Lonchura striata: one gene and its partners. The protein of the gene in region 2 purifies or fractionates together with the protein of the main gene of each other region. This does not show direct contact. Links are inferred from orthologs where the notes say so. Each region holds a gene or a part of one and is shown on either strand. Other genes may lie near its edges.

What was found.
Region 1: the proteins of MAPK14 (region 2) and OBSL1 purify together in Homo sapiens (affinity purification with mass spectrometry; 6 studies listed by BioGRID and IntAct, counting the BioPlex papers as one, with this or other methods). This does not show direct contact. The link is inferred for Lonchura striata from reciprocal best matches to the Homo sapiens genes MAPK14 and OBSL1.
Region 3: the proteins of MAPK14 (region 2) and IQGAP1 purify together in Homo sapiens (affinity purification with mass spectrometry; 3 studies listed by BioGRID and IntAct, counting the BioPlex papers as one, with this or other methods). This does not show direct contact. The link is inferred for Lonchura striata from reciprocal best matches to the Homo sapiens genes MAPK14 and IQGAP1.
Region 4: the proteins of MAPK14 (region 2) and DUSP16 purify together in Homo sapiens (affinity purification with mass spectrometry; 7 studies listed by BioGRID and IntAct, counting the BioPlex papers as one, with this or other methods). This does not show direct contact. The link is inferred for Lonchura striata from reciprocal best matches to the Homo sapiens genes MAPK14 and DUSP16.

Annotation. Positions count from the first base shown.
Region 1 is NC_134610.1:16,234,776-16,241,600, forward strand, and holds the start of OBSL1 (obscurin-like protein 1), read right to left. Parts: upstream 3,004-6,825; coding exon 1,965-3,003; intron 1,200-1,964; coding exon 930-1,199; intron 724-929; coding exon 463-723; intron 129-462; coding exon 1-128. Other genes in the region: INHA (inhibin alpha chain), read left to right, coding at 5,666-6,032. UniProt on the Homo sapiens protein: Core component of the 3M complex, a complex required to regulate microtubule dynamics and genome integrity. It is unclear how the 3M complex regulates microtubules, it could act by controlling the level of a microtubule stabilizer.
Region 2 is NC_134632.1:4,665,597-4,673,107, reverse strand, and holds the start of MAPK14 (mitogen-activated protein kinase 14), read right to left. Parts: upstream 3,017-7,511; 5' UTR 2,796-3,016; coding exon 2,680-2,795; intron 2,231-2,679; exon of another isoform or gene 2,201-2,230; intron 680-2,200; exon of another isoform or gene 583-679; intron 1-582. UniProt on the Homo sapiens protein: Serine/threonine kinase which acts as an essential component of the MAP kinase signal transduction pathway.
Region 3 is NC_134613.1:24,619,046-24,626,647, reverse strand, and holds the start of IQGAP1 (ras GTPase-activating-like protein IQGAP1), read right to left. Parts: upstream 3,008-7,602; 5' UTR 2,916-3,007; coding exon 2,864-2,915; intron 1,139-2,863; coding exon 1,039-1,138; intron 1-1,038. Other genes in the region: TUBGCP4 (gamma-tubulin complex component 4), read left to right, coding at 5,888-5,965, 6,083-6,211, 6,789-6,911, 7,298-7,351. UniProt on the Homo sapiens protein: Plays a crucial role in regulating the dynamics and assembly of the actin cytoskeleton.
Region 4 is NC_134607.1:10,378,311-10,385,228, forward strand, and holds the start of DUSP16 (dual specificity protein phosphatase 16), read right to left. Parts: upstream 3,004-6,918; 5' UTR 2,924-3,003; intron 2,844-2,923; exon of another isoform or gene 2,621-2,843; intron 2,448-2,620; exon of another isoform or gene 2,327-2,447; intron 1-2,326. UniProt on the Homo sapiens protein: Dual specificity protein phosphatase involved in the inactivation of MAP kinases. Dephosphorylates MAPK10 bound to ARRB2.

The DNA of each region.
Region 1 (6,825 bases), on a different chromosome or scaffold from region 2:
CAGCAGGTAGTGGCTGGCGGGGCGGAGGTGGGAGTCAGGTGCAGGACACCAAGTCAGCAGAGCTGTGTTAGTCTCCACCACGCTCATCTCAGCTGCTACTGGTGCACTCGGAGGGTCGTGCTTCACACCTGCAAGTTACAGCCCACGCTGACTGCTTGGGGATGGCAGTGAGGTTCTAGGTGGGGTGGTAGAAGTGATAAGTGGGGGTAACAGCCTGTTTCTTTGGGGATTCTCTCTCTGATGGAGAGGATGGTCTTGCTCCCGTGTAGCATGCTGCTGGCTGCAGGGGTTTGTGAATGCCTGTGAGGCTAGGATCCTGGAGTTCTGCTCAAAGCCCCCTTCCCATAAAACACATTGCTGCATCACACCCCCAGCATATTGGCTGCCTATGCCATCCCCTCTTCTGTATCACCCCCCATGAACAGGCAGGAGAGAGGACACAGGACCCCTTCAGGAGCTTACACTTGACTCGGAGCTGGGAGGATGTCTGTGACTCCCCGACAGTGAAGGAGATGATGCCCGCGTCCTGGCGGGTGACGTGCACCAGCACCAGGAGGTGTGTCCTGCTGAAGCTCTTAAGCACGGTGCGGGGTGACTCCCGCAGCTGTAGCCCATCCCGGCTCCAGCAGCTGCCCTCTACCACATCCCGTGTCTCCACACAGAAAACTGCATTCTCCCCCTCCATCACATCCAGCTTCCGTGGCAGTCGCTTCACAATCACCCCTATGGGAAGAGATATATGAGGGCCAGGGAGGAATTCTGGGGACCGGGATGGGGCTCTTTGAGGTGGGAGAGGAGGAGGAGGAGGTTGAGGAGGGGCAGCAGCAGGCACCAGCCAAGTGGAGGGAAGGCAAATGCACGGAGCAGTGAGGACCCTGGCAAGGAGGGGAATAGGAAGGCAAAGCTGTGCCGCTGGAGACATGACGCACCTCGGACAGAGACCTCGGCAATGCTGCGTCCTTTGTCCTTCATCTGGCAGAGGTAGATGCCATCGTCATCGATGCGGGCATCGCGGATGGTCAGGCGCCGCACCACCCCTTGCTCCTCCATCACGTACTTGTGGCTGGGCTGCAGCTCTCTGTCCTCCAGGTACCAGGAGGTGGGGATCGTCTCCAGTGGCACCTGGCACTCCAACACTGCATCCTCCCGCTCTGCTACCTCCACGTCTGCCAGCTGCACCTGGAACCGCAGCCGGTGCTCTGCCACAGGAAGAGACAGGAGCTTAGGGCACGTGGGGTACAGCATCCACTGTCAGCCCTTTGCTCAAGGTGATCCCAGCTCACAAAGAGCAGCAAACTCTTGTCCCTCCTTTGCCCTCTCCTTTGGCTTCCATGAGACAGACACTGCCTTGACAAGCACATATCCCAGAGCAGGGAGGACCAGGGCACAGCCTGGGGAGACACAGGGATGCCTCCAGTATCTCAGCAGGAGTTTTGGGGGATGCAGGGGCATGGAAGCCAGCATACTGCAGCAGGCATCTCAGTGGAGGGGAGCAGTGGGGTGTAGGCAGGGGCTGCACCAGTTCCTGGGTAACCCCAGCCATGGGCTGTCCCCAGCTGGCTGGATGGCTCGGGGGGGAATTGGGCAGCTGCCAGTGCAGACTGTTGGAGCCGTGCCCTGCAGGGCTGGCTGCCAGAATCACTCAGCACTTCCAGGGAAATTTGTCACCAAGGCACTGTCCCTCTTCCCTGTTTGTGGCTGGACACCTGCAGTCATCCGAGAAGCCACACCTCTGTTTGCAAGGAAAGCGAGACACGGAGCAGGACACAGCTCCTGAAGAAGCCCAGCATCCCCTGTTTCCAGCTCACAGCTCTGTCCTGAGGAGCCTGGGGTGACCCTGGCTGCACAGGGCAGGAAGGAGCCCCATGATGCTGGGCTCTCACACAGACACACCCCTGCCAGACAAACTTCCCTGAGCCCCCCAGAGCCTGGCCACCTCTGACACTTCTTGGACGTGTTCCTACCTTTCACCTGCAGCTGCACTGCACTGAGAGTCTGGCCAGCAGTGTTGGAAGCAGTGCACATGTATAGCCCCTGGTCCTGAGGTTTGCAGTACAGCACCTTGAGGATGAAGTAGCCCTCCCGGTCCTCGTAGATGAGATGCCTGCGGCCAGGGGCGAGAGGTTCACCATCTTTCTGCCAGATAATCTCTGGCTTGGGCTTGCCAGTAACATAACAGCGAAACTTGGCATGCTTCCCTGCGCTCACAGCAAATGCCTTGGCCCCTGGCACCCTGGCCGGCACGACGCCATTGGGCACCCAGGTCTCCGGTGCCATGCGCCGTCCCGCTGCGTGCCGCCGCCACCGCTGCCGCTCCGCCAGTACCTCGGGGCCGTGGGCAGGGGAGCCATTGGGGAGCCCATCCAACAGTGCCTGGGGTTCAACCAGGAGCACGGCGGCAGCCAGGGCCTCCTGGGAGCCGCTGCGTGCCCGGCAGACATACACACCCCCATCCTGGGGCCGGGCACCGAACAGCTTCAGGAAGTGCCAGTCCTCTGGTTTCTGCCCCACTGCAAAGTGGCTGCTCTCAAAGAGTTCGGAGAGCTTGTGCCCATCCTTCTCCCACTCCAGCACAGGGCAGGGCTGCCCAGACACCCTGCAGGTGAACATCACATCCTCCCCCCGGCACACCCGCATGGACGAGGGGGCAATGAGGAAGGCAGGTGCGACACTGCCTGAGCATCCCTCCCCCTCTCGCGGCTCTGCTGGCTCTACCCTGAGCACGGTGGCAGCGTAAGTCTCGCCAACACTATTCTTGGCCCTACAGACGTAGAGTCCGCTGTCCTCGGGGGTGGCACAGGACACCAGCAGGCTGTACAGGTCCCCTTTGGACTCCATATGGAAACGGCCCGAGGGCTCGATGGTATTCTTGTCCTTTTCCCAGAGGATGCTTGGCTGGGGATCACCCATGATCTGGCAGCTCAGGACTGCATTGGTGCCACTTTGGACCGTGAAGGCACGTGGATAGGCCAGGAACCTGGGGGCTCCCCCGAACCCCTCCATCACCAACTCCCCAGGCTCACGGCAGACAGCTGGCTGGAGCAGCAGCAGGGATCATCAGCCTGGGGGGATGTACAGACAGACTACAGTGGAGGCTCAGGCTCCATCGAAGAGATGGACCAGTGTGGAGCCCCCAGCTAGGAGGGACCCACAAAATCCCCATCATGGACCTCCTGAGCATCATTGTCATCCAGAGCAGCGCAGTCCCACTGGATTTGTCCCAGTGTCACCCAAACCATCCATTTCCCAGCCCAAGGCAATAGGAGACGTGACAAATTGTGGCTCTTTGCACCCCGGGGGCCTGAGACACTTGCACCCTTTCCCAGGGTTGCAGAGGGGACTCCAGTTCCAGCGGTGGGGGACCCCGGCCTAGACAGGGAGCATAGGCAGCTGCTTGCTGGGTGCTGGGGCTGGGGGACAGCGAAGGCAAAAGGGCCCCCGCCCGCCCCTTCCCCACCCGCCGGGCATTCACATTCCTGCAGTATCGGGTGGTGGCAGAGCCGCATTCCTGCAGCATCTGGGCCGGCTCAGCGGGCAGGTGCTGACACGGGGCTGTCACGGGCGCGAGGCCCCGGCTGGACCCGGGCTGGGACTTCCTCCCGGACTTGGGTGGGCAGGGGACCCCCTGTGCCGGGCGGCCACCCCACAGGGCAAAGTGCCCTGGGGCGAAGTGGGGCTCTGGGGAAGGGGTCCCCGTTCTAGAGAGTAGTCCCACAGGCGGGATCCAGCCCTTGTGCACTCAAAACCATAGCTGGAAATCATCAACCCCAGGGGAAAGCTGAAAGCCAGGGAGGTGGGTCCTGCTATGGAAGGGCACTGTCTCCATCCCCAGCTTTGTGGGTAACCGTGCCCACCACCAGGGCAGGAGCAGGGCAGGGTGCTGTGTGCCTCTCCCCGCTGAGTGCACCCACCCTCTGCCCACACCATGGCTGGGACTGGGGCAGGGTCGTCTCTGACTTGCTCAGGCAGGGGGAGGGGAAACAAAAATACTTCTTGAATGAGCCAGAGGGTAGGAGAGAGCTGGTCCCCAAGGAGCGACAGGGATTGTGGCCAGTTTCTCCTCCCACAGCCCTACCCCTGGGACAGTGAATCTATTCAGATTCATCTCTCCATCCACACGCCCCTGACCCCTGGGCCACCCCACAGCAGCTCCTTTGGACACAAACGGACAGCTCTGATGGCTCGGCTGCACCATTGCACCCTTCAACCACTCCCTTCCCCAACCACCCTCCCTGCCCCAGGCAGTCCCCCAGCCCAGACCCCTGCCCCACACATGTACCTCGTTCTGCCACCTCTCCCCTGTGTCTCTCAGTGTCGGCACCCAGCTCCTGCTTCTTCCCCCAGCTCCCCTTCTGGGTGTCAGTGCGCAGGGACCAAATGTTACAAATGCCTGCAGCTGCTGTCCCCAAAAATACCCTCTGATGACACGCGGGGTTGATAAGAGTGAGCCTGCTCCGTTCAGCGCCTCACCGAGGCTGGGCTGGCCTACCTATGTATAGCAGCCCAGCAGGAGCCACCCCAGAGAGCTGCAGGGGTGCTGCAGGCCCGGCTGTGCCTCTGCGCCGGCTCAGCCAGCAGCGAGAGACAACGTGCCCTGTGGAGAGCGTGGCATGGGGTGCAGGGTGCATGGTGTGCTGTACACTGAGCTGGACACCAGACTGCAGTGAGATAGGACGTGTCACACGGGACATGCTGCATGGGGGGATGTGTTGCATTGGATGCTGCATGAAATGCCAGGCTATATTGGATGGGATGGGCAGGACACTGAGCTGCCAGAGGCACAGAGGGGATGCACAGGCTGCCCACCATCCACAGCACATGCAGCGTTAGTGGATAGGCACTGTCCCCTCAGGCAGTGGTGAGAGGAAGGGGACTGGGTCTCCTTACAGCCAATGTCTCTCCTGCAACTCCCACCCTGTGAGCCAAGCCATGGCTAGACAGCCCAAACAGCACCCTAGGATCCTTCTCCTGGACCTGCTGCAGGGTCTCCAGCTGGCCCACCCCTCTCATTTGTTCTTCTCCCCTTGAAGGTCTCATCTGTTTTTCTCCCCTCTCCAGCCTTCTGCAGCCTCAGGTAGAGCAAGGACCTTTTGCCGTCCCTCTTGCTTCATGTCCCCAGGATCTTGCTAATCATGTCATGGAGATGTCATGGACTGTCATGGAGATGCCACAACCACCCTGTCCCTCAGCTTGCCCTTTCCAAGGCCCCATCCTCACATTTTTGGCTGCCCTGGCGACTGCCACCTGCAAAGCGCCTCCCCCATGCCAGAGCCTCACAGGCCTCTGATCCCCACCAGGTCCTTGCCCAGATTTCCCTGCCGTGCACAACTGCTGTCACTTCCCACTAGCTCCCCAGAAGCCCTAGACCTTCCACTCCTCCGCCATGGGAGGCACCTCGCATCAGCAGCTGCAAAGCTCACCCAGCACCCCCTCCATCCCTGCCAGCTTCGGCTGCCGGCACCACCCTGCCCGCAGCCCGGCCTCCCCAGCCCCACGCACGCACCGCTCCCGGCAGCAGCCCCCACACACACCCCCTGGCCGGGGGCCGGCCCCCCAGACCACACTGTCCTTGCAGTCCTTGCATTCCAGACGTCTCAGCGCTTTCACAGCTCAGAGATAATATTCACGGCGAGCAGACGTTTGCGTCAGTGTCAGCTAGATCTCAATGCCACCCTGTCCCGGGGGGAGCGCTGCGGGCAGACGGGCTGGGCAGGCAGGCAGAAGCCCGCGGCAGAGCCCCCCAGGCCAGCACCCCACCGTGTGCCCCACGGCCATGCTGCTGCTGCTGCACCTGCTGCCTGCCATGCTGCCCACCGCCGCCCTGGCCAGCTGCACCGGGACGGGTGCCGACCGGCAGCTCATCCTGGCCAAGGTGCGGGCTCGGGTGCTGGAACATCTGAGTCCCCCCCTTCTCCAGGAGGAGCCACAGATGGAAGCAAGGAGGGTACACCGGAGAGACGTTCTTGAAAACACTGAAGTGGAGCCGGAGGAGCTGGAGGACACCTCCCAGGTGATCTTATTCCCTGCCACAGGTGAGAACATCCTGATGAAAGGGTGAAGCAGGGTGGGGGTTGGAGTAATGCAGACGCTGAAGGATGGCGAGGCTGATGTGGTGGGAGAAGGGGAAGAAGGTATGCCAGGCTGGGACATGGGCATGAGTGAGATTTGGTGGAGAGCCAGATGGAAAGGTATGGCAGGCATGGACAAGCAGAACAGTTCAGGACAGACAGCAGAGGGACAGGCAGCACAAGAGGGTGCTGAGAGGCTAGGAAACAGCTGGCCAGGCAGGATGTGGAGACATGGAGAGGGATGAGGAGCAGGGTGGAATAGGGTGGGATGCTAGGGAATGGGGCAGGATACTGGAAGGTGGGTTGGGATGCTAAGGGACAGGGCAGGATGCTGAAGCATGCGGCAGGATGACCAGCAATAACAGCAGGAGATGGGGCAGAATGCTGGGGGATGGGATAGGATGCACATGCTGGGGAAAAGGGGGCAGGATGACCAACTATGGGACAGGACTGGGAGATGGGCCAGGATGCAGGGAGATGGTCAGGGTGCAGAGGTGGGGGAAAAGGACAGGATTACCAGCTATGAGGTGAATGCTGGGGGACAGGGCATGATGTGGTCTCTGGGGGAAAGGGGCAAGACAACCAGCTATGGGGGAGGATACTGGGGGACAGGGGTGACAGTAATGGACCAGCCTAGAGCATAGCAGAGATCAGTTGTGGGGCACAGCACAGAAGCTGCTGCACAGCACCGGCTCCTCTGCACCCAGCCACAGCCTATGCCAGCAGCCAGGAGCCCTGCCAGCATTCCAGGGACCTC
Region 2 (7,511 bases):
CAAAATGTTGCAAGAATGAATGAAACAGCATTTCCTACAACAGGTGCCATGGCAATTGTTACGTGACTTAGGAAGAATCAATCTGAGGATATGCGTAGATTTTTCTCTAAGTTTTGGAAACAAATCCCTATTTGTATCTCTAACACTTGTAGTTCTTAAAAAATAGATCCTGAAAAATACTTGAGCTGGCCATTTGAACCTCATTCTTGCAACACTGCACACCACCCCTCAGAAAACACTGCAATATTTGCTCTCACTTCAGGCAGTCCTGCAGAAAATGCCTCTCCCTCCATCCACTGACTCCCCAGTTGTCAGGTTTGTGTATTAGGGAGTTCCAAGCCATATTCAAAGCAGCTTACAACAGCTCCATAGTCTAAGTGACTCATCTGGCAGCTTAATGCTTCCTTTTTTATTCATTTTCCCCTCCACTTTCTGGAGATGCCTCATTTTCAAATGCCTCATTTTGACAACTTAAACAACAGAGCATTTGATTACATTTGAATATAATAATAGTGAACATACATGAAAATAGATTTACCATTTTAAGGATTGTTAAAACACCACTATGTACTATCCCAACAGGGATACACCAAACACCAAATGAAATTAGGTGGCTTTTTACTGGAGAGGAAAAAAATCTCTAAAGGGACAGAGCAGAATAAGTCCTCGCAGGAATACCGTAAGTAATATGCATCACCACTTGTAGCTTAATAAGCATCCATAAATATGCAAAAGTTTTTGTCGTTTTCTTGAATTTTTCAATTTTGACATACTTTCCATATCACTATATCTTTTCTGAAAACTATTTTTAGAAGAACATACAGGAAGCCATTAACATGGACTGTAAAAAAAGTCTGCCACATGTCTGAAATTGCTTCCAATACAAAACTGTTTCACTTGGTCTGAATAAAGTTGCACAATCTTTCAAAGTTTTGACACAGCAGAACAGGAAATTCATGATGCAAAGTCTTTAGTTACTGGTTGAAAACAAACTTTGCAACTATTACTTATACAGTGGAGTTTACAGGGAGGGAGAAAAGAAAATAGGAGTGGGGTATATGATGTAGAATCAACCTTAAAATACAAAGGACAAGGCACCAAGCAAATTTATTTCCCATTACATTTCAGAAGTTGCATAACTCTGTGACACCGACAGGGGTATTTATCAGCTGTGTCAACAAGGTTCTTCTTTCACCAAAAGAAACCTGTCTATTCCTTTCCAATCAAAATTATTCTATAATTATATTAAAAAAAAAAAAAAAAAAAAAAAAAAAACAAGAAACAAACCAAAAACACACCTCAGCAAATATACTGGTTATTCTCACTACAAAATTGACCAGCCTGGTTTACTTTTATGAAATGCAAGCCTCTGCACACTTCAATCACAGCATTTTAAAAAATGCAAGTTATTTAAGCTCAACTCTACCAACAATTTTATAACAGGTTAAGAACAGCTGAGCATTTCATTAAAACTGTAGCATGTCCAAAGGAGCTTATTTTCTGTACTAAGAGAATGCAGCATGTGTCCCTCCTTATAATAAAACTGATACCCATAATGTAAATTTGCATACATTAATAAACACATATGCATGCCTGCTCCAACAAAACAGCAAAGCAGCTTTGTAATTATGCACCCATATTTCAAAATTCTGCTCACACTTTGACAGAAGCAAAGAACACAGAATAAAACCCAAAGACTCAGGTGGAAGATGTTTCTTAATCAAAGGAGGCAGTAATCTGTGCACATTTAACTAAATGACTGCTAAAGTCTAAGAGTCAAACCGATTCAAATACTACCTTGTCTTTAAGGTTAAGCCAAGCATGCAGCTCTATTTATGTTTAATGATCCACCGCAGTCCAGCAGAGAAGCTACAAATTAAGGACGCATTGTATCTCACACATGCAGCCTGGTTTGTTCCTATTAGGTAAGCATTAAAAACTAAACTCTTCAAGCTCCCTGTATTCCTGCAGGTCTCATAGCAGGACTTTACTCTCCCAGGGAGCACATGCTGCAGTAATTCTATAGCAATAAAACGAGTCCTCCTGTGTTCATCTATTATTGCCAATAAAATATCGGTGCTTGTAAATCCACTATTAACAAGTCAGGAATACAAAAACAGCCCTCCCTACATTCTATTTCTTGCCTATCAACAAATTCCGGATGAAAATACAACTGACTCAAATACAATTTATTCTTCAGGTCCAGAAAGAAAACTGGGACAAGAGCTGCCAAGCCCTTAGCTCTGCAAAGCCACCTATGGCGGGGGGGGCTTTCCAGGCTGCATCCCTCTGCACTGCCCACCTACAAACTGCAAGAAATCACAGTGAAATATGTCCGTAAGTCACTGAAATATATCCATATGAGCTCATTCGGGGCGGGACGGGGGGGAGCCGGCAAGGACACATTATTATCTTCCCCTGCAAAAATGTTTCGGAGCCACCTGCCATGTGGTGCAATCCCCGACGCATTCCAAAGACGAGACTGCGGCTTCCCGGCAGCACCGCGCGTAAACCCGGGAGGAGAAGTGTCTCTTGCAGGAGGCCGGGGGGACAGGAACCCCCGGGGCACGGAGCAGCCCCGCTCGCCGCGGTGCCCGCCCCGCACGGACCCGGCAGGGCGGCGGGGCAGCGACCTAACGCGACCTCCCCCGCACTGCCCCGTCCCCTCCCTGCGCTCACCACACCGAGCCGTAGGCCCCGGAGCCGACCGGGGAGAGGTTCTGGTAGCGCTCGGGCACCTCCCACACCGTCTTGTTCAGCTCCTGCCGGTAGAACTTGGGCCGCTCCTGAGACATCTCGGTTGCGGAGCCCGCCCCGCCCGGCCCGGCGGGAGGGGGAGGCTCTGCCTGCGGCTGCAGCAGCACCGCCGCCGCCACTACCTCCTCCTGCTCCTGCAGCGGCACCAGCGACTTCTTCCTTCCTTCCTTCCTTCCTCCTTTCGCTCCCTCCCCTCGGCGCTCCGGGCGGGGGCGGCCCCGCAGCAGCGACGCCCCCGCTGCCGCCGCCGGCCGCTCCCGCCCCGCCCCGCTGCCGCAGCCGCGGGGGGCGAGGCCGAGCGCGGCCGTGTCCCCGCCTTCCCCCGCCGCTCTCCCTCCCTCTCTCCCTCCGCGGGCAGCGCCGCGAGGGGCTGGATGGCCCCGAGAGGCGCGGCCGGCGGTCGTGCGGCCGAGCGGCGAGCGAGGCGGGGGCGCCGGCGCGCGGGGCGGGGACACGCTGCCGCCGCAGGTGGGACGGCGCAGGCGGCGCCGCAGCCACCGCCTCCGCCCCTCGCTGCGACCTCGTACACAGCGCAAACAGCGCCGGCCCCGCTGTCCCCGCTGTCCCGGCACGGCCCGGCACGGCCGCGCCCGCGGAGCTCCGCGCACCGATGCCCAAGATGGAGCCCGCGCGGCGGCGTCTCGCGAGAGCGGCGCGGAGGGCGGCGCGAACCGCCCGCGCCTCAGCGAGCGCCTCGCTTCTCCCCGAGGTGTTCCGAAAGTGAAAAAACAAAAGGAGAATCGATGAGAATGCTTGCGGAAGCTTGCGAGTTGGTGTGAATTGTTTCTAAACTTCCCGAGGATGGTTTGTTCCCTTCCAGAGGTGTTGAGGAGAGCTAAGCTCGCGCTGCACACATTTCCCAGTGTCCTGATCGTTCTCTGTGTTTTTTGAGAATAAGCTGCGTCTCAATACTGCTCAAAAGGCCTTGCAGTATCAAAGACACAGATGTGTTTGCTTTCCAGTACATGCATAAGTCTAAAGTTATTAAGTGCGGCAGATTAAGCTGACTTTGGAGTGGAACCCATGGTGTCTTCACCAGACAGTAAGTACAGAATATCACAGAAAATAATTCATGTTCAGGCCACTTAGCTTTTAATCTCAAGCTTTAGAAAGGTGAATTGTTAGCAAGATACACACATTCTGAATGGGTCACGGAAGCTTGCTTTTAAAACATTTGGCTTCCCATATCAAACCCCTTCTCTACACAAAGTGGCACCCTCTCCTATGGTGGTGTAAGTCATTGAAGCCCACAGGAGTAAACACTTAAAAGTTACCACTGCTTGCACCTATAAAGTAACTACTTCTTGGTATGTTAGGATTCTTAACACCTTTAATTTGCAAACTCTTGCTGTTAGTTTTGCATGTATGACCTTGCCTTGAAAAGGGTGATTGTGCTCAAGGATGTCAGACACACCTCGCCCTGCTGTGGTTTGGAGTGGCTGGGGATGTGTATGTGTACAAGACAGTAAATCTAATGCTGGAGTCCCTGCTGTGGTATCAGAACAAACAGGTCTCAGTGATTGTGCTTTTGTTTCTTTGTTTTAGTTTGGTTTGACTATGAATATTGCAGTTTTCTTTCTGAATCTCTTTTTGGATCTAGTCTGGACTCTCAGTGGTTATGGCTTTTTCTGTTCTGCTAAGTCCTCCTATGAAAGTAAACACAGAATCTCTTATTCATCATTTATCTGGGCTTTGTTTCAGTGTGTACTGAAACTTAAACTGTTCTCTTGAGACGGGGACAAGGCTTGAGACTCAAGACTGAGCCACTGGGTGAGGTTCTCCAAGGTGTGGTGAGCTAATCTATCAGCCTGCTGCTGCCAAAAGGGACAGGACCACACAGGGAAAGGAAAGCAGGGGAGCCAGGCTTCTCTTTCTGGATAACCAGCTCTTTCATCAGCTTAGCCACGTGTGGTACTGAAGCCTGAAACTACGGGTCTTGTCCAGCTTACACTGCTGTAAAGGAATTTTCAGGTGATAAATGCAGGCAAACAGAGCTGTAGTTTGAGTTGGTGTTGTTTTCTCAGTAACCATGAAGACTTGTCAACAAGGTTACCTTCTGTAATAGTGAGATCATTTACATTGTGCAAAAGCCTTCTGTTCTGTCATTTAATATCTTTAAAAATCTAAGATGGAGATTGGATGAAATTCTGGAGTCAGAGAAACAAAATCACTTGATGGCAAGAGTTGAATCGTGTATAACTGTGACATGTGATGTAGAGTTAAGAGTCTGTCCACCCAAAATTACCTGATGTAATACAATAAGTTTTGCCCAGAATTCAAAGGCAGAATTTTGCTAATATTATTGGAAACTTTATCATTGCATTGTCTAATAAGAAAATATATTTTATTTCTTCCTCCAGCTCATTGTTTAAGAAAAATGTCTGCCTTGCTTCCTCATGATTTTTCCCTGTTTCTTTGCCACTTCCCTGTTTCATGTGTTTTTTCTGTTCTCCATTTTGTATGCACTTGTCAGCAGAGCCACCCTGACAGTGAAATTATGGAGGGGGACACAGCTCTGTAATGTTAATGTGAGTCCCCACGGTCACTGTTCACAGTTCAGGGATGTCAAAAGCCTTACTTATATTTGGGTTGTGAATAAAAAAAAAAAAAAAAAAAAAAAAAAAAAAATCACCAACATGCCAGGAATTAAAAGGGGGAAGAAGGAGCACTGGGCGGTGGGGTTAGTCAGAGTTTAGCTACTGGAAATTTTGATTCAAACACATACATGGGAAATATATCATGTAGGTCAAGTCCTGATTTAACCCACTCACTAAATAATTTAATTCAGGAAACATTTGTCTCATTTTGGGGAGGTGGGATAGGTTTGTTAATTTTTGCTGCCCAGATGCAGTGTTTATGTGGTTTTCTTCTAGGTCAGAACAGGAGGAATCAAAATACCATCCCCTCTTTTTTCTGCAGTGTTAATTAGGTCAAGCAACTGATGTATCCAGTGCTCTGTGCTTCTCCAGCTATCAGGTGAACAGCACACAGAGCATTTGTGATTCATCTGAGTGGCATGCAAGGGCACAGAGGTGCCTGCCTGGGATGGATGGTGTGTGCCAGCTCTGGGATAACACCTGTGCCTGCAGAGAGCAAACACAGCAAACCTTGGTGGGCACAGGAGGCCACACAAGAGCACTGCAGAGACACAGGTGGCTGCTTTGGACAGGCAGAAAGTTGGGTGAGTTAGAATCTACTGCAGAACAGCTTGCTGAAGTCAGGCTGAACAGCAGAAGGTAGAATATTTGGCTTGACATTTAAGCCTTCACGTTAAATTATCCTGCCAGTAACTTAAATATTGTCATGGAGTTGAGGAAATGCGGCTGGGTAGATCCCCTTTTGAATTCTCCATTTTTTCACAAATGTAATGGATTGATAATCCAGTTTGTTGCTTTGAGTCCTGTGTTCCTGTTTGGGCAAAGACATCTTTGTGTGCAAGCTGGAGAAGCATCCTGTTGAGTTTTGCAGGAGGGAATGACTTTGTTGTTGTTGTTTTTATTTCTCTGACAGAGTGAGAATCCTGCCAGCGGAGGGCAAAAGCTCCAAGTTTTTTATTTCCAGAGGTTACTGCACCAGCTGTCTTTGGGATGATGGGGGAAGTGAAAAACAGAGATAGCTTGACTTCCTGAAGAACTGGAGCTTATGCCTTTTCTGTCAGTATTCTGCAATAATTTTTAAGCTTGGTAGCTGTCTCAGCCAAGTTTGAATTGGGCAGGTGGCTGGAAATTCCAGGAAAAGCAATTGTTCTGAGTAAAATATTCCAGTAGTTGTCCCACCTAGGGAAAGAATCCAGTCTTGGGTAATCATCCTGTGCTGGGGTCCTACACCTGAACGAGGCAAGAAGGAGAAGAAAACCCTCCCCAAATCTGGAGGAAAGCAGGGTTCCTGACTTCTGCTGCTCATGAAACCACTTGTTTAACTCCCTCACCTTGGCATTGCACAAAATAGTCTAATGCAAGGATATTGACCTTTCAAACTCTTCCCCCATAGAAAAAGCTTCAAAGAATGAAGGTGACACTAAATATTCACCAGTCTCCCTTTAATGCAGGAAGGTGGGGAGCACCCTCACAGAGGTGACTGTTTCCACAGGAGCCCCCTTTGAGGTGAGGCTGCCTGGGAATGCAGCAGGGACCCACAGCAGCTCAGGGGTGTCACCTCCAGCAGTCCCTGTGAGCCCAGTTCCTCGAGGGCTGGAGGTTTGGGCTGTCCTGTGCTCCCATGCCAGCAGGGCCCTCTCGCTGCTCAGGTGGTGTCACCTTGTTATGGGAACTGCATTTGACCACCTTGACACTCTGGCCACCCTTGGCTAAGAGTTATATCCAGATATGAACTTGGATTTTCAAGAAGACTGTGTAGAGTCTCTTAACTGCAGAGAAAACTGAATCCTGGATCTTCTTGGACTGAAAGACAGGAAAAACTGAAGGCCCAAATGGTATTGAGTAATTCTCAAACCACATATGCTTCCCTACATTGTTCTGGACAGTGGCTTCATGCCAAGCTTCTCTCAGCTCTGTTCAAAATGAGTAATGTAAAACCCATGAAAGGCATAGCCCTAATTTTCAGATTCTATTGGCTCTCCTATGACAGCTTTGATTTAAGATGAAATGGATTCCTAGCTATTGGCACCATGAAAGGTCTCCACTGAAAACTTAAAAGGTTTTTTTTTTTTCCTCTTGTTCAGCAAAGTTCCAAATCTTCCCTTCCTATTGCAATGACTGCAGAGTTTAGCACCAGTGGACAAATCAGACATCAGA
Region 3 (7,602 bases), on a different chromosome or scaffold from region 2:
TTTTGGCAGAGGATTTCCAGAAAGACACTGAGTGCCTGGAGAGAAGTCTAAGCAACCCAGGGAAAAGTACTACAGATCTATTAAATAGATGGATGCATGGAGAAATACGCAAGAATTGAGTTCTCAGTGTGCAAGGAATATACACTGCTGCAATTTAAATTTGTAAAAGGCTTCAGTTAAGAGGAAGGGAGTAACAATTTTTCATGTGCACTGCTAAGCCAGGAGGCAATACTGCACCAGACATATACAAGTTAGACAACAGGAAGTGATGCCTTTTCTTGGGCATTAAGAGTTAGATACAGTTAAGGGATAAAGGGCTTTTTTATCTCGGTATCTAATAAGTATTTCTATGGCACACTAATTCACCAAGGTGGAATAAGTAGAAACGTACACACACAGTAGATTGCATATACAATTTTATGGACTTTGTAAATTAGTATATTTAAAATTGATGCTTCAATTAGAGGTTTAAATGAACAGTGTGAATGTTCTTATCGTCAAGTATTTTCTCTCAGATGGACTTAATTTTAGTTTACAGGACATGTTTTAGAGGGGGTCTTGGTTTTTCAAGATACCGTAAGGTTTTTCAGCCTCCCACTGCAAGGCCTTCAGGATGTTTGGTCTTCTGGCTTAACAGAATACCAGAACTATGCTAAGGTATTACAGACTCAAAGAATTACAAATGCACACGTTAAGGGTGTTGGGAATATATAAGTGGTACATAAAAAGAAAAAGTAAAAAATCATCATGGCATCAGGAGAACCCATCCAGTGCTAGGAATAACAGAACAAACAGGTACGTAGTCCTTGTCATGAAGTCTTTGAGAACCTTAGAAACACATATCAGAGGTCAGTTGTTTTTTTTTCACAGAGGAAGGGAGTTTCTTTGATTTTTTTTTTGGTTGGTTGTTTTTTCTAGTGAAACTATATAGCCACTAAGAAACCAAGACAAGAGGTAATATGCATCCAAATTATTCCCCATACCAAAGGTCACATCTTCTTTTAAAGCACCACCACTTTCCAAATCAATTATTCTCACCTCTTTGCTTCCTCCAGATGACAAAGGTATTCATAGGCTACATTCTGGCGTCGCCTTTCATCCATTTCCTCTGCTGTTAATCTCTCATTATCCAAAACAGCTGAAAATAAATGAAACACAGCCCTCAGATGGTTGAACATTGAATGTAATGGAACAGGCACATCAAAAATCAGATCCAACCTCTCCCACAGAAACTCATCACGGTTGTTTTTTTTTAATTCAGCAAACTAAGGATCTGATTACTTGTTCTTTACTAGCAAGAGAAAACACTCAATTTCCTTATCCTTGTCACATAAATTTGCCAGCTTCCTTCTTCCTGATTTCTCAAATTCACAGCATCCCTCTTACAACTTCTTAGAAACAATCTTTTATTTTCTTATTTTCTTCTACCTTTGCCTTTGTCTTCCTCAAAAGCACATCAGTGACCACTTGTCCCCTCACCAATCCTCCAATTTTGATAGCAAAAGATTAAGGAAGGACACAAATACATATTAACATCATATAACCCCCTCTATATCTTTATAGTCCACCTCTAAAGCAAGGTAGAAATGCTACTCACACTCCCTACATGGAAGGGAATCATTCAGATTCCCAACCTACATGCCATCTTTGGATCACGCTAAAGACCTACATAGGGGTAATATGCCTAAATCTTCTAGATTTTGTGTGTTCAAAGTCTCAGTAAAAAAGTCTTCTCTTCCCATACTTACAGCTAAATACATCTCATGTCAACTTTTTTAGGTATCATGGACCAATTTAACAAATAGGAAATGTTTCATACTGTTAATAAAGCAAAGGTTAGCTTATACCTAAGATAATTTCAACAACAATCTATGGTGCACTTGTGAGACCCCAGCAGGAACACTGGCATCTTCAGCACAAAACCTGCTAGAGCACGTCCAGAGGTGGGCAACAAAGATGCTCCGGGGCCTGGAACACCTCTCCCACAGAGGCAGGCTGAGACAGTACGGGTTGCTCAGCCTGGAGAGGGCTTTCTCTGTGGTCTCTCTGTACTTAAAAGGGAGCTTATAAAAGGAAGAGGGAAATGCTGATAGGACAAAGGGGAACAGTTTAAAACTAGAAGTGGAGAGATTTAGAGCAGATGACAGGAAGAAATTCTTGAACCAAGAAGATAGTGAGGCAGAGAAGCTGTGGCAGCCCCATCCCTGGAATGTTAAAAGACCAGGTCGGACCGACTGTCGCTTACAACATCGCCCCTCCACAGCACCACGTTTTCCTCCGCCGTTGGTCATTTTTGACGCGGTATAGTAGCGTAGGTGAGCCCGCACATCGGACGCTAAGATCCAAAGCCTCCCTCTCCATAGCAAGCCCACGACAAGGCAATGAAGGTGTCAAATGGGAGCGGTGTTTCGCCCAGAAAATCGGGTGTGGTCGCCAAAATCGGCGGGAAGGCGGAAGGCAGGGCCGCCCCCGCCCCACCCCGCCCGCGGCGGACATCTTGGGCGAGGTGCAAGGCTCGCCCGCGGCAGACGACGGCCGCACAGTCATGGGACGTCGCGTTGCTGCTCATCCACTGCCTTCTCCCAGCACTCGTCTCCAACCCTCAGGAGGACTGTCGAGCTTAGACAAGGTCCCGCGCGGCACGGCGCTCATCTCGCGGGAGGCGCAGCTCGACAGGGCCCGCCAGGAGAGCCGGCGGGGCACACCGTGCCCGAGGGGCAGTCCCGGAGCCCGCGGCTCCCCCCATGCCTGCGGTGGCCCAGCCTCCCCTCACAGCGCTGAACGCTGGAAAGCACGGACGGCTCGGACTGGGCGTCGCTTGGCGGCCACGCGGATTCCCTCACCCCGGGATCCCGATACTTACAGCCATAGTGGGGCCGGGACACGGCCAGCCCGTCCACGTCCTCCGCCGCCATGGCGCTGCGCTGGGCTGGGGCTAGCGGGAGCTGGGCGCGGCTGTTCCTCTTCCTGCCGCACCGGGTGTGGCGGGGGAGGAGTCGCCCCGCCGCGCTCTCTCTCCCCGCCCCGGCCGCACCCGAGGCGTCCCCGCCACCTTCGGCGCTGCTGGAAAGGATGAGTTGCGCAGTCCCGTTCCGGCCGGACCCAGGCCCCAATCTAGCTCGGCCCGTCCCGTAAACCTGAAGGACACGGCTTGGCCGTCTTGTCTCTCCCCGGGGTCCCTCTCCCTCTCACAGGGCCAGCGCCCTGGCTCTGAATCTGTCTGTTAGCCTCATAACTAACACCCAGCTAAGCTCTCACCTAAACTCTGCCAGCATACGCGGGACACAGCCCAGGTCAACCTGGTCATGACCCACATTTTACCCTCTCAGCCCAGCCATGTGTGCGCAGCCCACGTGCGCCCCACTGTGTGCAGTACAGCTCAGCCTCCAAAGCCCGGCTGCCTCCCACATGCTGCTTCGCCTAAGCCCTCTTGCCCTGCCAGGTTCCTCAGCTGCATAGCCCTTCACAGTAGCAAAACCTGGCCTTGCTGGATGTAGCATAAACAGCTCTACTGACCAAACCATGGTAACTCATATGAAATGTCAACCACAAGTGGAAGCAGTGGAAGCCCCTAAACAATAGCAACATCCAGCAGCACTGCCACAGGAGAATCATGCCCTGAAAACTTCCTTCCCCTCAGTACATATTACTGTTGCTTTGCCTATTTCTTGTTCAAGGGTCAGAGTACTGACAGTGTCAGTCACCAGGTGTCCATTTTAATTAGTCACATGAATTTCACTGCTAGGGCATACATTTACTACCTAAGTACACATTAAGTAATTTGGAAAACCAATAGCCTCTGTTAGGAAAAGCATCCCCAGCAGGCAAAGGAGTCAATCTATCATTCTCATCTTCCCAGATGTGGATTCAGTTTCAGCTCCCTCAGTACAAGGAAGACATGGACATAATGGAACAACTACAGTGAAATTGATTAAGGGCTTGGAGCATCTGACATATGAGGAGAGCACGAGAGAACATGCCAAGAAGCAGTGGGCAATGGACTGAAAAATATAAAAAGTCCCATTTCAATAGAATAAAAAATAGTTGTATTCTGAAGGTGACTCAACACTGGAACAAGTTACCTAGAGAAGTTATGGAGTCTCTGTCCTTGGAGAAAATTCAAGCCTAACTAGGCATAGTCCTGGACAAACCTGCTTGAGTTCACCTGGTATTGAGAAAACAAGGTGGGACTGGAGACTTCTAGAGGTCACTTCCAAAATCAGTGATTCCATGAGCCCATCAAAAAGTATATTTACTTACTATATATACACAGGTAACATGGAACAGGACAAGAAGACACAGCCTAAAGCTGTGCCAGGGCAGGTTTAGCTTGGACATTAGGAAGAATTTCTTCACAGGAGGGGTGGTGAGATATTGGAATGGGCTGCCAAGGAACGTGGTGGAGACATCATCCTGTAAGTGTTAGAGGAAAGATTGGATGTGGCACTTAGTGCTTTGATCTAGCTGACAAAGTGGCATTCGATCATTGGTTGGACTCAACAATCTTAGAGAACTGAATTGATTAAAGGAAGACATAATTCAATGGTTACAGAAATAACTACATTGGGAAATGCCAGACATAAATTACAAAACAAAAGGTTTTATAATACAGTTAGGATTCTATTTATTAACATTTGCATTACTTCACATGTAGCCACTTGTAAGTTATGCAATGAGAAGACATTTAAAATAATGTTTATATGTAGAATGTGGCGTGCAGAATTCATTTTGTTCCCCCTAAAAATCTCGTAACATTTTTGCACAGTGCCACAAACCTCCCTCAAAAACATCTCATTCTGATAAGAAAAATAAAACACGATTATTACATGTCATCAAAGAACCTTTCTGAACCTCTTCAAAGCTGGACTCAATGGTACCTATAACAGCTCCCCTGATTTAAGATTTCTGGTGCTTGTTATCGACTTTGCAAAATGTTTTTATTAAAAGTTGTGTATCTGTGTGCCTAATTTATTGCCTATCCTGTTCCTTGTCTTTTTCCCCCCTAGTGTTTAATGAGCACTAGTCAGATGGCCCTGCAAATATCATAGAGATACCTATTTTTCTCTCATTTCAAAATTTGAGCAACCAAAAAATTCTTTTAAGATTTTTGCTTTAATGACTAATCACTAGGTTTCCCAGAGAAAATGAGCACCGAAATCCTTTAAATAAACTACTGTTATCTGTTCTTTTGCAGAGGTTTCCAGACCAATTGTATACTGTGATATTTATGTCAAGGATGCATAACAAATGTCTAGGCCAACTCCTCAGTCTTTATTATGATGCTAGAAGTTTTGTCAACAGAAAGACAATAGTTTTATTATACTCCTCATATATGATAAACAACAATGTTGGGGCTTCCAATTTACACATAAAGCTGTATAGCTATAGCTAGTACATGCCCATATTCTTCCTACCCTTCAGACCTTATTGTGGCAAGCTGAAACAAATACAAATTAGATGACCCTTAAGACTAAACACCAATTTCTTCTAAATGAAGAAGAGTAAACATGTACATAGAGGAAAAAACTGTCAAAAATAGGGGGGGTAAATGAAAAAGAGGCTGCTAAAAAACACTTTATTAAATGACTTCATAGTTTTCAAACTAGACAGTTTTGAATAAAAGTCTACCCGGATTACGACAGGAAGTGAAGGAAAGCAGTACATAATAAATGGAGAAAGGTAAAACTGGCGCTGATAAAACACTGACAAATAACCTGAGAAAGCGATAAAGAAACCTCGTGAGGCGTATCGTAGAGGGCAGCGCAGCTCTGCTGTCCGGGACGGACGGTGGCCATCAGAGCCTCGGCGGCGCTGCACGCCGCAGCCCCGCCCGGCGCTCCCGGCGGCCCCGCCGCTCCCGGCAGCCCGCGCGGCGCCGCGCCGCAGGATGATCCACGAGCTGCTGCTGGCCCTCAGCGGCTACCCGGGGGCGGCCTTCACCTGGAGCAAGCGCGGCGGCCTCCAGGTGTGGCACGGCCCCGGCAAAGCCCACCCCGCCCCGCCTGCCCCCTGCCCCCCACCCCCCGGCCTGCGCGGCTCGTCCGTCCGCCCATTCGTTCCTCACCGCTGTTTTCTCTTCCAGGTGTCTCAGGAGCTGCCGTTTCTGCACCCCAGCGAGACCAGCGTCCTTAACCGGCTCTGCCGCCTCGGCACCGACTACATCCGCTTCGCCGAATTCGTGGAGCAGTACACGGGACATGTACAGCAGCAGGTGGGGTCACTGGGCCGAGGTATTGCCCGGGAAGAGCGCGGCAGGTGCCAGTAAGGCCAAGCTGCCCAGGACACAGCAGTGGTCCGTGGCCCATACCCGCGCTCGCACCACCACCGAGCAGAGCTCCAGAAAGCTCTTCGCGATGCTTGTAAGGGAGGGTAGAGAGCAATGAAGAATAATGAATCAAATGTAAAATCTTATTATTGGGGACGTCTTGTAATAATTTCTGACCACAGCAGACTGGCCAGGGTTTGTCAATTGAGCGGGATGCTCATGACTATCTCCTCATGATGTGCGAAGAGCCTTGAGATCCAAGAGGCACACTTAAGTGAAAAGAAGCACTGGTACCAAAGGCTCCCAGCACTTTCAGAGGTCCACAAAAGAACTAAACATCAGTCTGCTCGAGTAACTGTCATTGTGAAAAGGTTGTATTTGTTTTTCTGATCACTTTGTGGTGAGCTAAGGTGCATTTCAACAGGTTTAAAGCACTGACAACTGCTGTGGCACTGCACAGATACTACATTACTCTTCAGACTTGCACGAGTATGCTGAGGCAGATTTTATTGTTTGGTTTCAGGATCACCATCCATCTCAGCAAAACCAGAGTGGATTGCATGGCATTTATTTGAGAGCCTTCTGCACAGGTCTTGATTCAGTGCTGCAGCCTTATCGACAGGCACTACTTGACCTGGAACAAGAGGTAAAGGAGAGAGATACAGAACAAGAGGCTGTAGTGCTGCTGGCAGATTGTGGAAACTTGTAATTTCTGCAATTAATATGTTAGTAGTAGTTTCTAAGATGAAACAAGGTATTTTCCTTTCCACGTTAGGAATGCCTTCCAAATTATTCCTGTGAGATGCCATTGTAAATTACTTTTCATTCTATTAAGTGTTATCCTCTCTACCTTCAATTCTGTAAGGGCTCCATCTCTGTTAGCCCAGTGCTGTCTCAGACTACTGTGGCTTCTGTTTTCAATTTTAGAGGTTTTGATTAATCTCTGCTAGACTAGTAGCTGTCATACCTTGGGTAGCGTCACCATTTAGTGGTTGTGATAATTAATCTTCATTAATTGCTTTATCTTTATAGTTTCTGGCTGACCCACACCTTTCCATCTCACATGTTAATTACTCCTTGGACCAGGTATGTCGTGTTATTAAAGAAGTAGTGTTCTTTGCTTGTTGTCATCCCTCATTGAGTCTAATAAGAAAGTGGGTGGGATAAACGAGGCTTGTTCCATCATGTCATGTCATTTCTATCTAATGTCTCTACATCTGTAGTCCCTTAATCGTACTCAGAGGATCACCTGCACTTCAGCACAAAACTAAGGTACTCCACCTTGACCCTCACACATTCCTCACTGACTGTGTTTAGCCTTAACTACTGCTGGAATA
Region 4 (6,918 bases), on a different chromosome or scaffold from region 2:
AGAAACACTAGCAATACTCATTTGTACTTATCAGAGTTTAAAATATTCTAGAGAAATCTTCCATGTTGCAACACTCATTCTGAAAACCATCTCTAAGGAATTGTAGGGAAAGTGAATGTACCATTTGACACATTAGGGACACGCTTTCTTCCCTATTACCAAGAAAACCAGCTTCTTGAAAATTCTTAAATAATGAAGGATTCAGCATTACACAACCATGCACAAAATACTACAAGATTGCAAGAAGCATTTAGTCACTATCATAACAACAAATCCATAGGGGCAGATTCAGTGGAGTCACAGACCATGTTTCTTTCAAAGGCTGGAAAAAACATGGAAAAGAAACAGGAAGGGATGTGTCAATCCTTCCATACCTCATCCTTTGACAGTATCTACTCTATGCCATCTGGCTATTAAAGACTGTCAGCACTTGAAGAATATCAATGATGCTTTCCTGACTGCTTCTACAGAAAGGAAAAAGAAATAAAAGTCCTAGAAAATTCAGCTGTTATACTACAAAGTGAAAGCTATCATCCTTCTGCCTCCTTTTTCTTTAGGGGAAAAAATACTTCAGCTGTACTTACTGTATTTCTTAGCAAAATTGCATTTTGAGAACCGAATATTGCTGAATCAGTGTGAGGATTATGGCATTGAACTTTAAAAACCCTGGTGATGGAGCAAAGCCCTCACCCTGCACACACCTCTTACTGCCCAACGTGTTGGAACAGAACTCACTTGGGAGATAAATACAGGTAACAGAAATCAACACTTAACTTGTCTATATGACATTTCTTATGAAGGGCGGCCTTACAAAGAGAGCCTGAATGTAGCCCCTGAGAGCTTTGGAAGGCTTATGTGAATCTCTTATCTGATAGGCAGAGGAGCGACTGGCCCATCTCACACCCAGTTGCCAGTGACTCCATATGATTTCACTGCCCCTATGAGCAGCAGCACAGAGCTCCTTGGCAGAGTCGATCTGCCAAGGAAGGTACACAGGCACAAGGCAGATACAACCACTACTCCTCCCACGGGCTGAGGGCTGGCATCCCGCCGGGGTTGGCTTGGGAGACAGCTCCCAGAGAAATCCATTTAACACATTCCTGCACAGCTTCTGCCGATACCGTCCCCATGGTCAAGCCAAGCTAAAAACAAACACCCCTGCCCAGCCAGCTGTCCTTGCTAGAAGAGGAGCATGCATTTTTACAGAAACCAAGATAACTGAGCCCGCTGTCTTCTACAGAAGCTTTTCTGGTGTGATTTTGTTCCATTACATCTGCTTGTGTAGCTAACAGGTATCTTCATACAACATGTTACATTTTTAAATGCTTGGTTTGTTTTTCTGGACCTTCCCATATGTATTAAACCAAAGCATTTTGAAGCTACCATCTGTAGCACAGGAATTGACACATTCTCTGCTGTTTTTAGGTATTTGTTCATTCTAAAAGGGACTTTTAAATTGTCTGTTAAGATTTACTAAAGCACTATTGTATGAAACAAGCACAACAAGTGGAACATACTACAACTCAGATATTTCTTATAGATTCCATCCTCAAAATATTAACGACCATATTCAGTAAATGCAAGATTTACTTGTGAATATCCTTACTTTTTGTATCTTTTGTCATTAAACATGAAAGCTAAAAATACATGTACACCTCCCTACTGCATACTTCGGTCCACATTCAAACAGAAACTCCCAGACAACATAAACAACTGTGTTTCAATCTCCAATGAGCAGTGGGATGAACACTATAAAAAGAAATTAAGACTTACTATTTTTCCACCTCCTCTCAAAACACAAGAGTCTAAACCAACTCCTGTTTGGTCAGTTGTGACTTTGTAAACTCTGTATCTAACAAACCACACACTTCCAGGAATAGCATAAATCTCAGAGCAAGGATTACAAAATCATTCTTGGGTTTTGGTTGGGATTTTCTCTTTTAAGAACCCCAACAAACGTCCCTGCAAAGAGAAGCAGTTCAATCTGCTTTTATGTTTCAAAACTACAACAGATCTATTTATTCTGCTAGGTATACACTGAATGTTTGAACAGAAAAATTAGTCATTGGTCAGACAATATAGCTCGCTATCACTACACCCTTCATTTGAAGGAGAACCAAAGAAATTTATTTTATATTTCAACCAGCTGAAATGATGGTAAATTCTCCTGGGTTTCCTTTTCTTAAAAAATAAAAATTAAAATATTTTTTTAAAAAAAAATTAAAAATCCCAGCTTCTCATCTGGCATACAACCAAATGTTTTTTAGCCGCTGAAAAATCCTGCTATTGGTCAGGCTCGGCAATAGGCACATCCTATACACCTGGTGATGCGCGCTCAGCCCCGCATCCCGGGCCGGAGTCGGGGCACATAAGCCGGGAGCGGGGATCAGTCAGGCCTCTTCCCGGCGCCAGCCCCGGGCTGGGAGCTCAGGCGAGCGCGATGCCAGGTTAACAATTTGCCTCCCTCCTGGACGCCGCGGCAGCCCTCCATTTTGTCAGTCGCCTCAATTTAAACGCTTTCCAAGGCGAAGGCAGAACTTCAGCATTTCTTCGGGAGCCCTCCGGGGCTTTAAAGCATCCTTAAGCGTTTTGCGCAGCGCGCTCGGAGCCAGCGCTCCAGGCTAAGTCTAGCAGGGTGGCCGCGCACGCCGCGGCTCACGGGCAGCGCCGAGCCCCCCGCGGGCTCCTTCCCATCGCTTCTCCCGGCGGCGCCTCCTCCCGCCCCGCGCTCCGGCGGCGCCCGGCTTCCTCCCCGCACGGGGAGAGGCAGGTGGATGTCGGGAGGAGGACAGGGAAGGGACGGGGGGCAGGAGCCGCCGCGGGCAGCAGGGTGCCGGCAGCAGGTAGGGAGGGCAGCGCGGGGCGGCCGCCGGTGCCGTGCGGTGTCTGTGCCGTTCCCCCTCCCTCCGGCCCCCGTTCTTACCGCCTGCGGAGGCGGCCGGAGCCCGCCCGGGCCGGGGCAGCGACCTGTCCACTGCGGGCGCTCTCCTCCGGAGGTGAGGGGGCGGCGGGGAAGGGCATGGGGAGGAGGGAGGGAGGGCTCCCGCCGCCCGCCTCTCCCTCACCTCCCTCCCCCTCCTCCCCGCCCAGCCCGGCCCGGCCCGGCCGGGCCCCCCCGCGCCCCTCGCCTCCCTCCCGGCTTGGCTTCCCCGGTGCGGCCCTGGATCGGGGTCCCCCTGCGCTGCTCCGGCACTTACTGTGTCACCCCTGCCAGTCTGGCTGCCTGTCCCCTCGGCAAGGATAAAATCAATTGCCCACCAGCCTCGCCGCTGCTGCCCGAAACAACTTTGTCTTCTTCCAGTCCCTGGGAAAGTGCCTCTTTTTCCTACTTCTTCAATGGGGGGGGGGGGGGGGGGGGGGGGGGGGGAACCCAAAGAAAAAAAGGCCCTCCCAAAAACAACAACCAAGCCCCAGCAAATTTAAAAATTAGAAAAGAAAAAATATATTGGGTTTTTTTGTTTTTTTTAAAGGGTGGGAAGCGTGAAAGTGGGAGGGGAGAGGAGAAGAAAAAGGAAATATTTGGGGCTTTGGAACTCTCTTTTCCCTCTCTTTCCCCAAGATGGCTTGAAAAAATTCAAAAGGGACAGTAATAAGGGGGACACACAGAGAGAAAAGCTCGGGAGGACGGAAAAAGTTTGGGGGGTTGGGGTTTTTTGTGCGCGCGTTTGGTCTTTGTGTTTGGGGTTATTGGTTTGGTTTTGTTTTTAAGCCTTAGGATCCCAGAATGACAGAAGCGACTACAAACACTCGGGAAGAGCAAGCACAAGGAGAGGAACGAGCGAGAGAAAAGAGTTTTGCTGGTCCGTAAACTTCAAGCTGCTGGGATGAGGTCATTGGTGTAAATATAAAGCGATGGCGTCATTTGAAACCAATCACAGTGAATGAACTCAGCCGGAGGGTGAAGGTGGGGGGAGAGGGTGAAGGAGAAAGAGGAGGAGCAGTGAGAGAGGATCCCGGCGGCGGGAGGCGATGGCGGGGGCCGGATGGGGGTTATCTCACTTTCCGCAGCCTGCTGCCCGGCTGCCGCGGCCCCTGGGAGGAGCGCGGCCGCGGAGCGATTCAACCGAGCCGCCCCGCGGCCCTCGCCCCGCTCCGGCTTCTCCACAGGGCCCCCCCGGCCCGCCGCCCCTTCCCCGCTCGGCCCGGAGCCCGCCGGGCCGGTGGCGCCTCGCAGCGCCTCGGGCCCGCAGCCTTGTCCGCTCGGCCATCCCTCTCCTCGCCCTCTCCTCCCTGAACCAGCTGAGGGGGCATCCGTAAATACCGCCCTGGCCTTTGCTTTTGCAGTGTGCCGCTGTGCATTGCGGTGTAGAACCACCTGGGTGTGAAGGGTCACATCCTCCTGTGGTAGTGTTACTGGATGACACAACCACAGTGTTTGAGGGAAGGGAAAGGAACTTAAAGTCATCCAGTTCCAACCCCTGTCACTGAGGTGGGCAGAGCACCCTCTGGGTCATGTGGAACACTGGGGGCCTTTGACCTTTAAATAACCTTAAATAAATTTAAAAATCTGAAGCCATACAGTGAAAATTTATGCAGATCCACACAAGTACATGTTACTTTTGCCTGACATGTATCTGTTATGGCTACTACCAAGCCTAACTGGTAAAGTACATCCTTCAGGGGCTGCATGGGTCCTACCTGTCGTGCATCCCTCTTCCAGGCATGACAGAATCTTCTGGTCCTCTTTCTTCCTTAGAAGCATCATTACTATGATGGCACGTTACCTGCTGGCGCTGCAGGACATGCAGGACAGCTTGCACACCAGAATTCAAACTCCATCACCTCTGACAGTTTTGAATCCCTGTGCCAGAAACCCTTGGAAGACAGCATGAGAAAGAGGATTAACTGCATAGGTCCTTATGTTCTTGGTGGCTGTCTCTTCCAAAGTGCCGTTGGAAAAGCACATAGCTGTCGCTCACAGTAAAATGGTTTGGGTGTTTGGTGTTTCAGGAAGAAGGTAACTCAATACATTATATGGGGGGAGAGGGGGCTCTGTGCTGTCAATATTGACCAAGAACCACCTTGATGATGCCCTCGTGCTAAGGAGTTGTGAGCTATCTCATAACAACACTTTGTTGGCATCTGTACTGAACTCCTGTGTGAGGGAGTGCAGAGCATGCAGGCAAGAGAGAAGCCCAAGCTCCACAGAAGAGACAAAATATCAAAAGCAGTGAAGAAATTATAGTAAAGCAATTAACATTGGGATGTTCACTGTTTTGCACGTATCCTTTTCCAGTAGCTGAAAAGCAGTTTTGCCCTTCCGTCTCAATAAAGCAGTGGTCCCAAAGATGCCTTTCTCAAACCCCAAAAGTGCCCACAGCATTAAAAATCTGCACAATTAACTGCTGATTAATGGAGCTAGAAGTGACCCATTTTGACAAAGGGGATCAGAGAGGGTGCCAGAGAAACTGGAGGTGACAGCCAGTGCCCCAGCTCTTTCATTCCAGAAAATTGCAGGAACAAATAGTTCCAGCATGGTTATCCTCACAAAGAGAAGTGGGGAGCAGTGGTGAGAGCTGCATGGTGAGGAGGAAAGACATTTCAATTCTCTCTTCCCTTTTCTCATCTCAACTCACTAGCACCATATGTAACAGGTTTAGGTTTTGTTTAAATTGTGGGACTGTGAAAAATTCCTGACTGTAAAGCTGTAACAATAAGAATTACTTGGGATATTTTGAAAATATTTTTCTTTTTAGCTAAAAAAAGATATATGCAGAAAAGTTTGTACTAGAACAGCAAATGAAAGCTTTTTCAGTATAGAGTCAGGATTTTTATTTTCCTAATGTAATAAAAGATGTGACAAAACCAGTGGCATCACAATTAATTCCTGCACATTGAAATTATTACTAAGAATAACTTTTTCTTTTCAGCCAGGCTTGAGGTAAAAATCTGATCTGGGAGAACATTGCAGAGTGAAACTGGACAGATTCATTGCTAACCTGAAGACAAAGCAGGAGTCAGGAAGACTCAAAGACAGCAGCATCAGACCTCTCTTCACTGAGAGTAGGAGCTGTATCCTTTGCCTCCTGTTTGCAGTGGCCAAACTGTGAATGTGTTGGCAGCTGACATCCCTCAGCTGGCCAGGGCCACTTCTGTAGGAGCAGAAACGCCTTTGCATGTCAGAGTCTTAACATCACTTAACTCTTTTTTTCCCCCTCTGAGAGCCTTTCATTCCTCTCTACCACTTGTGCAGCAAGCTCCTGGAAATGATCTGAACTGCAGGTGCAAACCAGGAGAGTGTCTTTGGCAACCCCCTGAACCATCTGGGAGAGAGAGTGCCTGGCTTTGCTGGTGTCCCTGGCTGCTGACCTCTCATTCCCAAGTTTTTAAAGTCTGTCAAGTCTGAAATGTATTTTGCTACACTTCTGGTGATGGACTTTTTGGCCTAAGTTCACTGTTTGTTTTTGAGAAAATGGTACTGAAAGAGTTAAGGTTAACATTCCTGTCTTGTGCCTCCTTATGAGGCTTATGAGATAAGAAGTGTCTATATGGGGTAAAACAAGGGCAAAAGATATTGTGGTGGCTATCCAACCAGCTATGCAACAGCCCTTGAACTTTGACACTCCCCCCTGTCCTACCTGTTCAAGCCTCACTTCTGGCAGGAGTGCCTGCAAGTGTGTCACCCCTCACTGCTCCTGTTCTTGGGGGCCAGGGAGAGGAAATAGCTGGCTAATTTCAAGAGAAGGTCATGCACCTTGTTTACAAAGGTTTCTCTTTCTTTATTACTAAAAGCTAGTGCAGCTTCTTGTTCCTTTTCCAGCTAATGGATTTTGTGGCACTTCATTTGGTTAATCAGTTAGCAGTGATTAAACAGGAGAAAGATAAATGACAGCCTGAGTAACGTCATCATGATTTCTGTGTGGTGGAAAGGAGTGGTTTGCCAGGGAAACATCTTGCGAAATAAGTGAGAATTGAACT